2 linked regions of the Notamacropus eugenii genome follow. The protein of the gene in region 1 purifies or fractionates together with the protein of each later gene. This does not show direct contact. Links are inferred from orthologs where the notes say so. Each region holds a gene or a part of one and is shown on either strand. Other genes may lie near its edges.

Region 1 (8,332 bases):
TACTGTAAGATTGTTTCCAAATGTCAGTCTATGTAACCATTTTGGTCCACAGTGTTATAATCAGTTAATGTCATAACTGCCATCTTCAAACAGATGCAATTCCTGAGATGATGTTTCAGATTTGGAATTATATATTCACTGTACAAGATGCAGGAATTCAGGATCTGTCTTCCTATTAAATTCAGTGCTGGGACAAGCTAAGTCTAAAAAAAAATTAGTTGTGTACACAAGAATTATCTAAACCATAGGATTCCCACTCTCTGTTCCAATACACTGTTTCAACAGCAAAGTTATGCCAGAAGGAAACGTAAAGAAACTTAGTTTGGTTCTGGAGAACATGTCCTAACTTCCTAACCTTGGCCCTCCAAAAACATTTATAAAGATACATCTTCAATCATGTGAACAACGTGTAGCAGATTTCCACCACTCTTTAGTTCGTTTTATTGGCATCAAATAAAAACCAAAGAGATGTGCTGGACAACTACAATAATTCCTAATTAGAAGGGACTGCAGACATTATTTAGCCATAAGCCACAAACATTCCTAACTAGCATCAATGGGTGACTTTCCGATTCAATTATACAAGTCTTAGGAGGGAGCCCCAGTGGATATCCCAGTCACTCGCTGGCAGACCTCACAAATTAGGGCTCTATCGCTTGAAAATCAATGTGTTTTATAGGTCCTTTTATAGGTAGTAATCTCAGCTTGTCCATGGTTACTGAAGGAAGGGAGAAAAGCTTGCAGGACCAATTTAATAGAGGAGCAAATCAGGCCTTCATGCTGGCACTCCTAACTTCTTGTGGTCTGCATTATAAACACTGATTGAACAGCCAGAACTTTCAAAGACTGTTCCTCACTGTTAACCAAGGTTTCCTAGTTGGGCAATTTGTCACTGCTTGCAATTAAACAATGCCACTGTGTATCACAAAGATATTTTAAACTACCCTTAGGAATTGCACACAAAATAAAGGGCAGAACTAAGTCAGTAAGAAGGATGCTATTTCTAGCAGGCATTCTGCAATAATCCCATCTGAGTTGAACAAGGGAAGGAGAAGGGTAGTGGCGTGTCAAATTGCAGAACCGGGAAAAGTATCAGCAATTTGATCCCACCATGAACTACCAAGACACAGATAACTGATGTATGAAGAAAGCCAGAAGACTCCAAGTTAGATCTGTCCCTTTGCCCCTCATTTCACAGCACTTTCTTCCAAAAGCTACAACAGTGCAATCTTTTAAAATTTTAATTCCAGTACAATAAAGTTCCAATTAGATAAAACCCAAATAGCTAAAAAGTCTTCAAACACAATCTTTACTTTTAGGTAAAAGAGGAAAATTACAAGAAAATAAATCGATAGCAAGGATAAATCCAAAAAGCAACTTCCAATATATTATCCAACCTCAGTGTGGCTTTAACCCAATCTCCTAGACTTTGTAAATCTATACTTTTAATTAATGTTTGGGATGAGGGCCTTCCGGAACTCCAAGAAGCAATCAGTCATATTCACCACACTGTAAAGCAGGAAAATTTACTCATATTTTTAATATCTCAACAAAGGCTGGAAAGGAAAACAACCTAACCCTCAATAAACCTGAAATTTCAATTACCCACAATATTCCACTTCCCCAAGATTCTACTTAATCTATGTCTTACAAAATGGAAATAAAAAATGAAGACTTAGATATTATTGAAACATAGACATGGTTAATATTAAATTTATCTGTTGTGTTCATTTCCTTAGTTTCTTACCAAGGCAACTGACATTAATTATTTAATACAAAACTGGCTTGACTCCAACGGAGTCATTAATATTAGAAAATACACAGTAAAATGTTTTTAAAACATTAAGCTAATGGACTGCAAGAACAGAGGCCTATATGGTCATCTGGATTAGAATCTGAATTACCAGTATTATTAATAATAAACATTGCGCACGAAGTACTTACAAATGTATAAGTACTTACAAACAAATGCTCTTTTTAATCTTGAAACTTTATTTCCTGAGGATTTCAAACTCTGATGAGGGAACTTACAAATATACCATATACTTGCAAGGAAAACTTGGATGTTAATATTAATTCTGGGCTTGAGTTTAAGACTCTAAAGGGAGATTGGGCTGTTGTACAGTCTGAATTGACTTACCTATTCATAAGTCAATGGAAAACAAAGACACCACCACTAAATCCATATCCTCAGAACTGACTTTTAGTTGAGAAAAGATAAGGGAACAGGGAACATTTTTAGGGTATGTTTGTAAATGTCAAAAGTTCATTTAGCACAAATATTCTATCTGCGTTAAACTACAGATATATACATGCAAACACTACTTAGAGCCCTTTTGTTCCTTTGGGAGTGGGGAGGGGTGGAATTGGCCATTTCCATTAACACCTTCACCAACATGGCCATTAAAAACCTGAAACAAAGACCCAGTGCCTGTGGCTCAGTTTAATAAGCGGCAGAACGTTCCTGCTGTTGGCACCACCGCGCACAGATGACAGTGACCCGGGCACCCTGCTGCTGCCTTCCCAAGTTGGCTAAGTCAAAGGGGCAAGTTCTGCTGTCAGTCCTTGAAATCCAGGAAACAGTTACAAGATTGGTCTTTACTAAAAGCCTGAAGTTCCCAAAAAGTTTTTTGGAATCAAAAAAAGAATGAAGTCAGCCGTTCCCGGTCACTGACAAGGGGGCTCTTCGCGGTAGGTGGGTCTGGCACACGTTCTGTAAAGCATCCACAAACGGGGGTCTCGGTGGCCCCTGGCTACCATCACCCCTGGCATTCCTGGAAACCCTAAGTGCCCGCCCAGAGGTGCCCCTGGGGGCGGTCACTCCCTCTGGGGTTTCATGGGTTGGCAAATGTCCCCTTGAGTTTCGGTTCCACCTTTTCAGGAACCCCCAAAGCTGCCCCAGCCGGCCGGCCGCGGTCCGGGGGAACAACCGGCCACACCACTGCCCCGCGCTGGGAGGAGGATGGGGGGAAGCGAATAACGGACTGGAATCCCCACCAAGCGAGTGTCCTGCGGGCACCCGCGGGCCCCCCGCGCACTCAGCCCCCCGCTGACCCCCCCCCGGGGCTGGCGGAGGACGGACGGGGGGGCCCGGCCCCCAGCCCCCAGCCCCCCAGCCCCCAGCCCCCAGCCTCACCTATGCGGCTGAAACTCTCGGACAAAGTTCGGCGCAACTTCTTCATCCTGCTGATCCGCTCCGCCGGCTGGGGCTCGATCAGGTCACACATCGGGACCGCGGGGCCCGGGACACTTCCCGAGCCCGGACCCTAGCCCAGGCAGATGCGGGAGACCGGGGGGCGGGCGGGGCGGGGGAGGAGGCTCAGCCTCGGGCGACGCGGGAGGGCGCGGAGCGGAGCCGGGCGGACGAGTCCCGAGCCCCGCGGGCCTGGCCCCGCCGTCGGGGCTGCGGGGCGGGGCGGGTGCGGGGCGCGGGAGGAGAGGGTCCGAGGGGCCGCGGATGCCGCCGCCGCCTGCTCCCCGCTCGCCCAGACTTTCTACGTGGTGCCCCGGGAAGCGCCTGCCTCCGCCGCGGAGCTCCCCGCAGCCTGGCGCATTGCACCCCCTGCGTCCCCCGGGGGCCGAGAAGCTGCGCCCAGGCCGGGCCGGGGCGGCGGGCTGCGGGCGGGGGGTCCGCGGGAGAGAAAGGGGCGAGGAGCCTGCGGGGGCTGCGGCGAGGGCGGGCGGGGGAGAAGTTGTCGAGCGCCGCGGAGCCGAGGCGAGGGCCGAGGGCCGGGAGCGGCCCGGGTCGCCTAGGCGGCGGCCGTCCGTGGACCGGCCGCGCGAGCCCCGGAGGCGGCGGCGCGGGGCGCGGAGCAGCGGCAGCGGGCGGCGAAGGCGGCGGCAGCCCGGGCTCCCCCGCTCCCAGGCCGCGTCATCCCCTCCCTCCTCTCCCCCTGCCTCGGAGCGGGAGCAGCCCCCGGACGGCCCCGCCCCCGCCCCCTCCTCCTCCCGATCCACCCAGACGCGCGCGCGCTCCCAGCCCGAGCTGCCCGAGACTTGCGGCTCGGTGTCCGGGCCGGGGACTCCCCGAGCGGAGCCTTCCTTCGGCGCCGGAGCCTCGGAGCGGCGCGAGCCCGCGGGACGGGGACCCGCGGGGTGGGGGCCGGCGCCGAGAGAAGTTGGTCGTTGGGATCGGAGGTGTTTCTCCTGCCTGAAATTAACGATGTGTGAAATTGAAAGGAAGGGCAGGCCGGGGAGCCCGCTGTCCGCCGCGGCTGTCCGCGGAAGGGCCAGCCGATATGCGGCAGGCTGTGGTCCATCCTTCAGCTGCCCAGGCAGCTGTGAAGGGGAGGGACCTGCAGAAAGCAGCGAAGCACCCCCTCGTGCTGGAGGGCCCCTCCGAGGCCGCAGAGTTCACTCTGCCTCCTCTTTTCACCTTTGGGGAAACTGAGGCCCAGAGCCACGAGGTCCTTTGTCCGAGGTCTCACAGCTAGTTGTTGCAAGGCACCTACTTGCAGCTAGCAAGTCTCTTTTCACTAGTTGCAGCCCTCATTTTGACTCTTGGAAGTGGCTAAGCCAGGATTTGAACCCAAGTTATAAGATCAAGGATTTAGATCTAGAAGGGACCACAAAGATCGTCTTATCCAAAGTGAGTTGACTCACCCAAGGTCATACAGTTAGCGAAGGGGTTGTCCTATTTTAGAGGCAGAGACTTCCAAACCAGTATGCTTTCTTGCTTTCTGGAGACAATCGGGGTTAAGTGACTTGCCCAGGATCACACGAGTAGTCACTGTCTGTGGTGTAGGATTTGATCTCAGACCCTCCTGGCTCCGGGTCCAGCGCTCTGTCGACCTGGACCCCTAGCTGCTTCTTTCTAATATACTATACTGCCGCAGAGCACCCACCTCACCCTTCTGCCTCAATGGATACAAAAAGAAATGCCTTGCCACCTCCAACACTGGACTGCTGAGAGTTTGCAATTGTACAGTTTGCAGACAGACATCATCTGGATCCTAATAAGATGGACTTCATCCAAATAACCAAATGCCAGTTCCCAAAGGGAGAGTAAAGGAAAGTGGGGGAGGGTTAGAATGTGTTGTTTGGGGCACCAGCGCTTCTTGTGAATTCAAACGTTAGTAATCTTGAGTCATCTGGCTGTGTAAGCAATGAGAGACGTTGGGAGGGTGTGACAATGCTGTTTGCTTTAAAGGAAGTTTGAGAGAATATGTGTTTTGTTAAAAGATTTTTATCTTGCAACAAAAACTAACTCCCCCTTCCTTAAATTGTACCTTGAAGTACAGGGACTGTGTCTTTGATTTATTCATAATAGAGCAGAGCACATTAAAGGTGTTTAAGAAATCTCATTCAATAAGGACAAAGGGGGTGGGAGATTGGGGGGAATAACCAAGTTCTGACTTCCGGGAAGTCTAGTAGTGAATAGGAATTGCGAAAAGAATTACTCATAGATACAGTATGTATAACAGCAATAAAATAAATTACCAGGCATTTTGATACTGATGCCCCTGTCTAGCTATCATAGAAAGCATCCTGTGTGGTCCAATTCAGGAAAAGTTTTCTTTTTGTCATTTCCTCATGTGAGTCAGAGAGAAAGTTGTCAGCAACACATGTGTAAGTGATGGAACAAAGCTTTTCATCCAGCATCCCAGGATGTCCATGAGCTCTCCCAGCAGCTACGAAGCAAGTCCAGATGCTCTTGGCAGTTCTGCCAATGATTTGCTTTTTAAAAAAACAAATACTTTAATCCTCCTTTACCTTCCCAATTTTTTTTAAATAAACTTCACATGATTAGAAGAGTGAAAAAGAATTAGCTCCAATCCATCAATTTCATTTTTTTCTACTCTAGTAGGAAAGATGGTTGTAACTTGGCTAAAATGAAACTTTGGAAGTATCAATGGAGATCTACTATCCATAATCTCCCTCTTCCCGTCATGGTTATCCATTACCATGGATAATCCCCTGGCATGGCTGATCTTAACTGTTAAAAAAAAATGGAAACCAAAACGTAAGTTTTAAACTGAGTACCCAGATGAAGCAGCAGCTAAATCTGATTACTGTTACAATGACCAATAGTAATGTGTTTTCTCTTGAAATTCAGTTCAGTTCCATTAAATAAACACTAAAAAATACATTCCAAGTCCTGTGACCTGACTCCTTCTTACCTTTCCAGTCTTCTTACACCTTACACTCCCACTTATTATTCTATCCAGTACCACTGGTCTCCTTTCTGTTCCTAGAACTTTATGCTCCTATATAGCAGTTCTAAGCATTTCCACTGGCTGTTCCCCTGGCCTGGAACTCTCCCCCATCTCTTACCTCCTGGCCTCCTTCAAACCTCACTTCCTGAGGAAAACCCTTCCCAATCCTCCTTAATCTCTGTGCCTTCCTCTTAGCCTGTCTGTCTTTCCTTTGTCCCTCGTTGTTTGCATGAGCCCCTGGAGAGCAGAAACCATTTATTACCTTTCTATCCCTAGTGCTTAACATACTACCTGACACATATAGGCACTTCATAAATGTTGACCAACTAAATGACTAGCTTTGTATCACAGAGGATAGAAGGACAAAGACAAAATGGTCCCTTCCATCTTGCACTTTGCATTCTGCTTAATAGAATTTGGGTGATCCATTGTGCAGGAACAGGGAGTGAAGACTGTGATTGGAAAAGGGTGATGTGCATCTCCTTCCTTTCAGGAGGACCAACGACCCCGTCGTTAATTGGATTTAAGTGAGGCAGAGCTGCATGAAGTTGTCAGCCAACACTTTCTCCTCCATTCAGTGAAGTCCAGGGGCAAGACAAAGTCAAGATGACTGGCTGTGGCCCAAGATGCAGTGGATAACCTTGATCTTCCTAAAGTAAAATTGACTTAATCAACTGGCAAAGGAATTGAACGCCTGACATTGTTTATTTTACTCCAAAGCTCTACCAACTAATTGAGAAAACCAGAGACCACTAAATATTTGAATGCTCCCATGCTCAATGAGTTCTGCAGAAAATGTGAAGTAGTGTATAATCCAATTCATAAGCAAAACGCAGGTTTTTGTATAACTCATTTTTTGTGAGTTACAATTATAGAAATGGGGCAGGTAGGCGGCACAGTGGATAGAGCACCAGGCCTGGAGTTAGCAAAACCTGAGTTCAAATCCAGCCTGAGGTACTTACTAGCTGTGTGACTGGGGGCAAGTCACTCAACCCTGTTTGCCTCAATGTCTTCATCTGTAAAATGAGAAGGACATGGCAAACTCCTCCAGTATCTTTGCCAAGAAAACCCCAGCCTGGGTCACAGAGTTGGACGTGACTGAACAACAAATTATATAAATATGTATCAATAAATCTATTATATTAAAGATAGACATAGAAATAGCACTATTAGTGTTGTTATTATTATAATTCCATACTGTTAGTGTATAGAATTAAGATTTAGGTATAAGGACATATTAATAGAAAATTATATTCAAATTTATATTGCTCTTTCAGTGTGGTATAATAGATGGTTGACCCACAAGCCAGGAAAATCTGACCCATACCGGTTCTGTTACTGCAGGCAGATCACTTAACTCCCAGTCTTCTAGTTAATTATCTAAAACTGAGCTGTAGAGAAGCTGCTACCTTGTATTGTTAGAATTTCTTTACCTGGGAGTTATCCCGTTGAAATCATAGGCCCAGTCACCATCCCTTATTATAATATTAACTGATGGATGGCCCAGTTTCATTGATCTCCATGCAATGTCTTAAAATCTAAAGAAAGGCCCCCAGAATGAATCCCCATCACAGATTATTGGAAGAATGTGAATAAGGTAAAGATGAGTGGTCATTGATGGGCTGTGAGCTCCATTGTTGGAAGGAGTACATACATGGATGACATCCCTGATCCACTGAGCATAAAAGCATTGATATTACAAATGGATTTGATAGGTCTTGACCATATGAGAATCAGAAACTCACAAAGTTGAAAAACACTTCTGATACTTCTGAGACCATACCTGAAAAAATTATCCGATAGGTATTCCTTGAGACCCCAACTGAAAAATTCAGATGAAGGGCAACACAGGGCAGCAGCTTGAAATTAGCTCTAGCTTTTAGAGACTTTCCAAGCTCAAGCTCAAATTTGCCTCTTTGTCGTTTCCATCAATTGTTCCAATTCTCACTGTTTGAGGACAAGTATAACAAATGTAAGCATTCTCCCATATACCTAAAGACAACCATCATGTTGTTTTCTTCTCCAAACTTAACACGCTCCAGTCCCACAACTAAGTCTTATATGATGTTCTTAAGGTGATTTTCCATCTGGCTTCCTAACCCTGGAACATTCTGCAGCTAATTGATGTCCTTCTTAAAATGTTCTGGCCGAAACAGAACACAGTACTCAGACCAGAT
Region 2 (7,884 bases), about 23 Mb from region 1:
ATAGTAACCAGAAAGGGACCCTTATCTTCAAAGGAAGAATTACAAAAAATTCCAATACACCAGCAGCTTGTGGTGGGAATTTTTTTAACTTCAATATAAGCAGCTATCCTATGAAAATCATCATGAATGTTAGTAGGTATTAAACAGGCAGAAGGAAGAAACACCGTTGGGACCACCACATGAAGCACATTTAATAAAGGAGACAAGATTTCTGCTGGCTGCAGATTTCTACACAATATACTCAAAGTGACACATGGGTATGTGTTCACTGTATGCCACAGAGAACTGACCTAGAGTGTTCATTAAGCATTTATTGCCTAAACTTTTCTGAACTTCTCATTTCCAGCCATGCTGCTATCCCCTAAAACTCATATATTTCGAATAGCAGGATTTGCTTTAAGAAAGCAGTTTTTGCTAATGCTAAAAGAAAAATGGAATTGCCTGGCTACTTCTTTTGAATACTGGTGGAATTCCAAAATGTTAACTCATCAGCTTCTGACTTTGAAAAGTAATCACCACAGCTCAATTCCGGAGTTAGGCCAAACTCTAACCCAATCTAAACAAACCAGCGGTCTTATTCCTAACCTCCAGCTCTGAAGAAGGGGCAGCCCTGAAAAGCTTGCAAATAGCTCAATGGAGTGAGTAAATCCTGGAAGTATTACTTACTGAATCAGATTTTGGGAGAATGACAGAACATTGTTTAAGTAGTGAATTAGCATTTCTGGGATTAAAATGGCATCATCTGAAAAGTTTCAGCCAGGAATTATACAGTACCGCAGTGATGCTACCATTAAGGAGAAGCCTGCTGCCAAGTAACTGTTCCCACCCCGGTCAGCCTTTCCTCTTGAAACAATAAAACTTTCTATAATCTACCCTACCATCATTCAAATGATCCCAAGCTCTCAAAAATAAAATCCAGACACTTCCAAATATTCTTTCCCTCCCCACCTCCCTCCACTCCAGGATACTTAACAACTGAAACTTCGACTCTTGCAAAAGAAAAAACATAGGATACTGTTTTATTGTTCCCACAAAATCCTCCCAAAGCTGCTGCACCAAAGAGCTGGTTACAATTACAATTTTTTCTGTTTTCTTATTATAGGCATCTCTACATAATCAGCTTCTAAGAAATCAGACCCTACTGTGTATTTGTTTAGGCAAATCTGTCATTTAAGATTAAAAACCTCCACAAAATGTAAATTCACATGAATGGAGTAAGAGGAAATGTTTCCAAACATGGAACTACAGGTCAAGTGTAAGGGGTTGGTCAATGGTCTTCCACAACAATCTCATAAAGTTAGAAACAGTTTGTTGTGTGGGTGTGTGTGTGCATGTTTCAACCTCAATACCTATATACAACCAAGGTCAAAGAAAACAAGACTGAAATCTTAACATCTAGGTGTATTCTACAGAACTGAAGAAAGTCACCACTTTTAAGAATCAGATTAGGTCAGTCTTACCACATGATGAGAAAATAATAATTCCTTTTGTGCCACTTAAATTGGGTTTTCCACTGTCTAAGACTTGAGTCAATGCTCCATTCTCAAACAGAGAGGAATTGGATTATTACAACAGAGAAAGTATACACTTTTGCCTCATCAGTACTTTCATTCATGCAGACACAAGGAACTTGTATAGAACAGTTAACAGGGCCAATGAAACAGAAGATTCTTGGCAAAACCAAAGAATCAAGAAATTTCTGGTTGCAAGCTTTCTGAAAGACTAAAAATACCTAAAATTTTTACTTAAAGCACTCCTGAACCAAAAGTGCAAACTAACTTCTCACTGAAAGCTCCCTGCAAAAAGAATCAGGCTAGCACTGATACAAAGAATAAAGTCAATAGTTAATCATTAAGAGGGGGCAACAGTCAGGGCATTATTTCCAAAAGCTTCTCTACTGCAAATCAAAGCTGTGTATCGGACTACAGTCATGAATCCATAGAAAGATAATATAACTCAATATATAAGCCCTTTTTTATGGTATTATTTTGACTAAAGTCATTATCTGATTTAATCCAAATCTTTCTCCTAATCTCTTAATATTGCTGAAAAAGCTCCAAAGAAAAGTATATAATTTATAGTTCTAGTATGTGCTGCCTGAAGAGAAAGGTTTTGCTGCATTTTTTAAAAAAGCATTTATCATGTTTGGGAAGGAAAACAGCAACTAACATGAAACCAGATCAGGGAAGCTGGCAGTCCATCTTTGGTGTCTGATTAATTTGAAGAGTACACCACCCCAGGAGTCCAACTGTACTCTAACTGCAAGGCAGTTTTCAGTCACTACAACTCCAAAATGGGAGTTGGCTACCCTCAGCTAACCCAGTGTTTATACATGACTTTCAGAGTAATGGAAATATATTTCACCCAGTACATCCTCATTTTTCCACCATCCTCAATCCCCCAGAAATATAATGTGGTTATCCCAGGATATAAAAGGCAAAAACGGACATCTCTAAGGTTTGACAGCTCTCACTTTGTTCCATCATCTCTGAAAAAGAAGGTGGAGTGGCTGTCACCCACACCCACGGCCTGTCTATTCTGACCATCCCTAAGGCAGCAGCACCAACACTGTCTAAACAGGACAGTTCAATGAGGTATCTTGGTCAGTAAAGTTTTTTCTGCCACTCATGGTACAAACTTCAGAACAAGCCAGCGACACCCATCAGAGAGCTCCCCTAGAGAACCAGAACACCAATTTATAAACACAACTCTTCCCATTAGAAACAGTTAACAAATACTAGTGCTTTAGCTGAGGGGAGGGGTGGTGAAGCAAAGATTAATAAGGAGAGAAGAGAAAAATCATAAAGGGATGAAGGAGACGATGCGGAGCTGCCCAACAATTGGGACCAGGAACCAAAGACCAGAGAGAAAGGAGGCTGGGAGTAACAGCCATCCTCAGCTTCATCCTTACATGTGGGGTTTATCTCTAGAGGCATAGGAGAGAAGTTAGAAGGGGAGGAGGGAAAGGTCAAAAAGGGAGGAAGGGAGAGCCCCCCTCCTTCCCATAAGCACTCTCCCCAACTGCCCACTCCGAGTTCTTGACCCCCTTTCCAGGACAGAGGCGGGAGCACACAGCACAGCACCACGCACACACACGCGGGCACACACACGCGGGCACACACACGCGGGCACACACACACGCGGGCACACACACGCACACACACACACACACGCACACGCGATGCTTCTCTCTGCCCATCTCGTACTCACCATCGATGTTCTCCCGATCGCTGATGTGTTGCAGGTTGCAGCCTGTGTCCTCCCGGCTCAGCTCGGTGTCGGGCCGATAGGACTCCAGCCGGGAGTGGGCATTTCTCCTGAGCTTGGGGCTGGACGACACACAGCAAGACGTAGTGTTCCCCATCTTCACTGGCCTCCCCAATTCCTCCTCCCCTGGCTTTCTCCTTCTACCACTTCCCCAACCCCCCCACCCCGGGGATAGGGGTGCAGGGCAAAGGGGCGGGGGCAGAGGAGGGAAGGGATGCGGGGGGCACAGGGGGTGGGGATGGGGGTGGGGGAGGAAGAGGGGGCGTGGGGTCTCGCTCCCCGCCGCGGGGGGTGCTAGCCGCAGCCCAGCTGCCCCGGTCAGCAGCTGCAGCAGCGGCCGCGGCGGCGGTGCCTAGCCATGGGCGGCGGAGGAGGAGACAACGGGGAGCTGGGGGAGGAGGAGGCGGAGGAAGAGGAGGAAGAGGAGGCAGCGGAGGCGGAGGCGGCTTCCCAGGCTGCCCCCTCGGTGGCACACGCTCGCCGCTCTCCCCAGTGGCTCATCCAAGCGGCCCCGCACCAAAGCACGTCCTGGCTGGCTCGGCGGCGCCGCGAGGGGCAGGCAGACCCCGAGCGCTCTGTCTCCCGCACACACACACACATGCACGCACGCACACTCACACTCACTCGCACACGCGCGCGCGCGTGGGGCTGCAGCGGTGGCGGCGCCTAAGTCATCCCGCCGCAGCCAGGGGCCGGCCCGGGGCTGGGGCGCGCCTCCGGGCCTTGGCACTCCGTCCGCCCGGGCTGGCTGCGGGAGCGGCGGCGGCGGCGGCCCCAAGCTGCCTGCTGCAAAAGGTTCCGGTTCAAGGGGGTGGTAACCGGAGCCGCCGGCCAGCCAGGCTGCGGAGCCCGAGTGCGCGGCCGCCGGGGCGTCTCCGCCTGCCCCGCGCGCTGCCCGCGTGCCCCCGGGCCGCCGCCGCCCGCCGGGAGGGGGGATTCCTCCGGGCCGCCGCCGCTGCAGCCGCCGCCGCTGGGGGAAACCCCCGCTCCCGCGACATCCCCGCCTCTTCTGCTGTCGCCTCCTCTTCCTTTTTCGAGGCGTCGGCTGCCCTGGAAGCACAAGAGCCCGAGCCCGCGGCCGGGGTGCCCGGGGTGCCCGGGAGGCAGCGTGCGCCCTGCCCGGCCCCAAGGCATCCCCGTCCTCTGCGGAGTGCCTGGGGCAGCTTCGGCTTTCTTCCTTACAAAAAATAATAATTCTTTCCATCTCTCCCTCAGTTCCCCGCACTCCTTATCCAAAGGAGCCGAACGGGAGACTCGATAGAATATTTACAAAACATCTCAATCTGTGTTTCTTTTCCCTCAAGCAAGATGGAAACCTGGCACAGGGAGAAACACTGGCAGGGGAGAGTGAGTTTGCCCTCTTTTGGGGGGCCCAAATGCTGGCTTCATAATGTGAAACCAGAAGTAGAGGGAAAGGAATCAGGAGGACTAGGGAAATTAGATGGGGCTGAGTTAGAGAGAGATTGGATGGAGAACTGGGGCAGAGGAGCATCACATTTCAGGCTGGAAGGGATCTTGGGGTCATCTAATCAAAAAAAAACCCTCGATTTTACAATGAAGCCAAGAGAGGTTGTGACTTGTCCAGGGTCACACTGGTAGAAAGTGTAGGATGAGGCGGGTAGGAGCAAGAGGGATGATTGGGGCTCGTTGGAAGGAAGAAAGAAGCATTTTTTGTGACAGTCCGGAGAATGTGTTTTAGTGTTTAAAAAAAAAAGTGGGGCGGAGTGGAGATGGGAACTTGCACCTTGAGTCAGAAGATCCCCGGTTTATTTTAGGGCAATGCCATTGATTAGTTGTAGACCTTGTTGAAATCATAGAATGAATTCCCTTGTGCCCCCCAGCTGCGGAGGGCACAGTCACTTGAAAGTTAAGCGTCTATACAAGAATCAAGAAAAATAGCATTATGATCATTACAAAATGTTGAAATTATTTTTAGTAGCAAAGTGCTGGTTATCACTTAATCAACAAGTATTTGAGTGATATTTGCCAAACGCTACGCTATATACTAGAGATACAACAACCCAAATGAAGCCTCAAGGAGCTTACATTCATTCTATACATTTAGAACTAGGAGAGGGTTTAAAAACCCTTCAGCTTTAATATTCAGTCATGACTCATAATGACCCCATTTGTGATTTTCTTGGCAGAGATATTGGAGTGGTTCTCCATTTCCTTCTCCAGTTCATTTTACAGATGAGGAACTGAGGCAAACAGGATTAAATGACTTGCCGAGAGTCGCTCAGCTAGTAAATAAATGTCTGAGGCCAGATTTGAACTCAGGAAGATGAATCTTTCTGACTCCAGGCCCAGTGCCCTATCTACTGACACACTTGCCCAACTATGTTGTCATATAGAAAGAGCTTTTTAGTCAGAGGACCTGAGTTCACAGCCTGTGATCTGCCAGGTACCATGCACGCTAGGAATTAGAAATAAAACAACAAAAATAAAAGTCTTAGGGGCAAGGTTTAGAGGTCATCTAGTTTAGATGCTGTCTAAACTAGAGGTTATCTAGTTTGGACACAGTATTTATGCAACCTTGGGCCAGACATTTAATTACCCTGAACTACCATTTCCTCCGTATCAAAAGAGGTGGTTGAACTAGGTAATCTCCCAATTCTCCATCTGTGATCCACGGAGGTATTAAATGACAGCTGGGAATCAAACCCAAGTTTTCTGAAATCCAGCACTCTTTTCGGTGATAATAATGGTTCACCTTTCTATAATGCTTTTAAAGTTTGCCTCATGCACTGAACGGGAGCCCATTTTGGGTAGTAGTCAGGTGGCCGTGCAGGTGTTGTCCATGAAGCAAACCTGTATTGCCAGTAACTGTAAACTAGAAAACTCTTCTCTTTCCCTTCCCTTCCCAAGTTTGATGCAGCCCTTTGGAGCAGGGCAGGAAGGGATGTAGAGAGGTAATCAGAAGAGTATTGAATTGTAAGTTTCTTGAGGACAGGAGACTATGATACTTTGACTTTTTTGTATTACCAAGGCATTTGAGAGTTGTTCAAAGGGTACTTGAAGGTGAATGAGAGAAAGGTCATTCCCAGGAATTTGTCCTTGTGATTAGGATAATCCCTGGAATGCTGAATTATTTCATGGTAATGATATGGGACAAGGTGACTTTATGTGTATATCATTTTCTTCCTTCTCTCTGCCCCCTTCTTTCCAGGAGTGGGGAAATTAAAGATCAGAATGGAGAAATTGGCCTGAATTGAAGTTGGACTAGACTAGTCTAGAACAGAGACTAGGCTAAACTGGGAGAACCTGAGGAGTACAGCCTTGGTAATAGCCCTGATAGTCTAGTTCTGGAATCAGTGATTTTCTCTGACTTCCCTGGAAAGCACTAGGCAAAATAGCAAACTAGGCATTTTCCCTTATTGTCCTCTTAACCCAATACTTCTTTGTATTGCAGTGATCTAGTTTATTCATACTGTTCAAAGATACCCATTCCCAAACTCGCCGTCTAGTCAAAATTTTACTTCCTTTGTCCCTCTAAATGAGTATCACCCCCTCACCCTCCAAAATTCAAAATCTGATTACCCAAGTGATCTATCTACCCAAGAAAGCCTATGTAGGTATTGATCCTGGTTATCCACCCTCTCTTGGCATACTTAGAACTGTGTTCTTAACTTTTTAATAACTTTTCTGTTTCACTGGTTCCTCCACCTCCCATTCCCATCATGTTGGCATTCCCCAGGGTTCTGTTCTTGGCTTAATTCTCTTTCTTTGCTCTTTCCCTCAGTGATCTCATCTACCTCACTGGCTTGCCCAAATCTCAATTTCTAGCCCCAGTTTCTCTGTTGAGCTGTTATACATCTGCATTTCCAGCTGTTTCCTAGACAGCACCATCTGGAAGACCTGTCAGCACTTCAAACTCAACATATCCAAAACTGAATTGTTTATCTTTCCAACCCCCACCCTTCCCAACCAGCTCCACCTCCTGGCTTCCCTATATTTAACACTACCAACCTCCCAGCCACCCATATTTGATACCTGACAGCCATCTTAGACTTTCTTTTCTTTTGTCCCCACATCCAAACAATTTTCTTCTTTCTCCCATCTAACTTCTCTTTGTCCACTTCTACCATTTCAGTTCGGATTTCCATGCCCTCTTTCATACATTATTTTCTTAAGTTTTATTGCTGCCTTATGCTTTTACATCCCAGTCCCTTCCAAATATGTCTTTTCCCTTTTCTAAATCTTAATCTTCTCTGGTAACAATAACCAAAAATCTGTTAAGCAAAACCAACCAAAATATCACCAACACCTGAAACTATTTTTGATATTCCGCACACATAGTTCTTTACCTCTCCAAACAAAGAAAGATTCATTTCCTGGGCCAAGCTTAATCATTTTATCTCCTTCAGCTTCATTTTATTGTCCTTTTTTGTTTACTGTAGTCGTTGTATGTGTTCTTTCCCTGACTATTCACTCTTAGATTCTTGCAGCAGCCTCCTGACTGGTCCCCTTCAGTCTTCTTCCCCTCGTTTACCAATTCATTCTACTTCTGGTATCAGATTAATCTAATCAGACCATAATTGATCATGTCATGCCCTTGCTCAGAACCTTCAATGGATCCCCATTATGTAGCCCATTATGTATATATACAAATGTACC

What was found. The genes of interacting proteins can lie anywhere in the genome.
Region 2: the proteins of CDK14 (region 1) and CCNY purify together in Homo sapiens (affinity purification with western blotting; 3 studies listed by BioGRID and IntAct, with this or other methods). This does not show direct contact. The link is inferred for Notamacropus eugenii from reciprocal best matches to the Homo sapiens genes CDK14 and CCNY.

What each region holds. Positions count from the first base shown.
Region 1 is NC_092874.1:52,477,758-52,486,089, forward strand, and holds the start of CDK14 (cyclin-dependent kinase 14), read right to left. Parts: upstream 3,376-8,332; 5' UTR 3,228-3,375; coding exon 3,137-3,227; intron 2,973-3,136; exon of another isoform or gene 2,141-2,972; intron 1-2,140. UniProt on the Homo sapiens protein: Serine/threonine-protein kinase involved in the control of the eukaryotic cell cycle, whose activity is controlled by an associated cyclin.
Region 2 is NC_092874.1:75,448,699-75,456,582, reverse strand, and holds the start of CCNY (cyclin-Y), read right to left. Parts: upstream 3,365-7,884; coding exon 3,211-3,364; intron 1-3,210. UniProt on the Homo sapiens protein: Positive regulatory subunit of the cyclin-dependent kinases CDK14/PFTK1 and CDK16.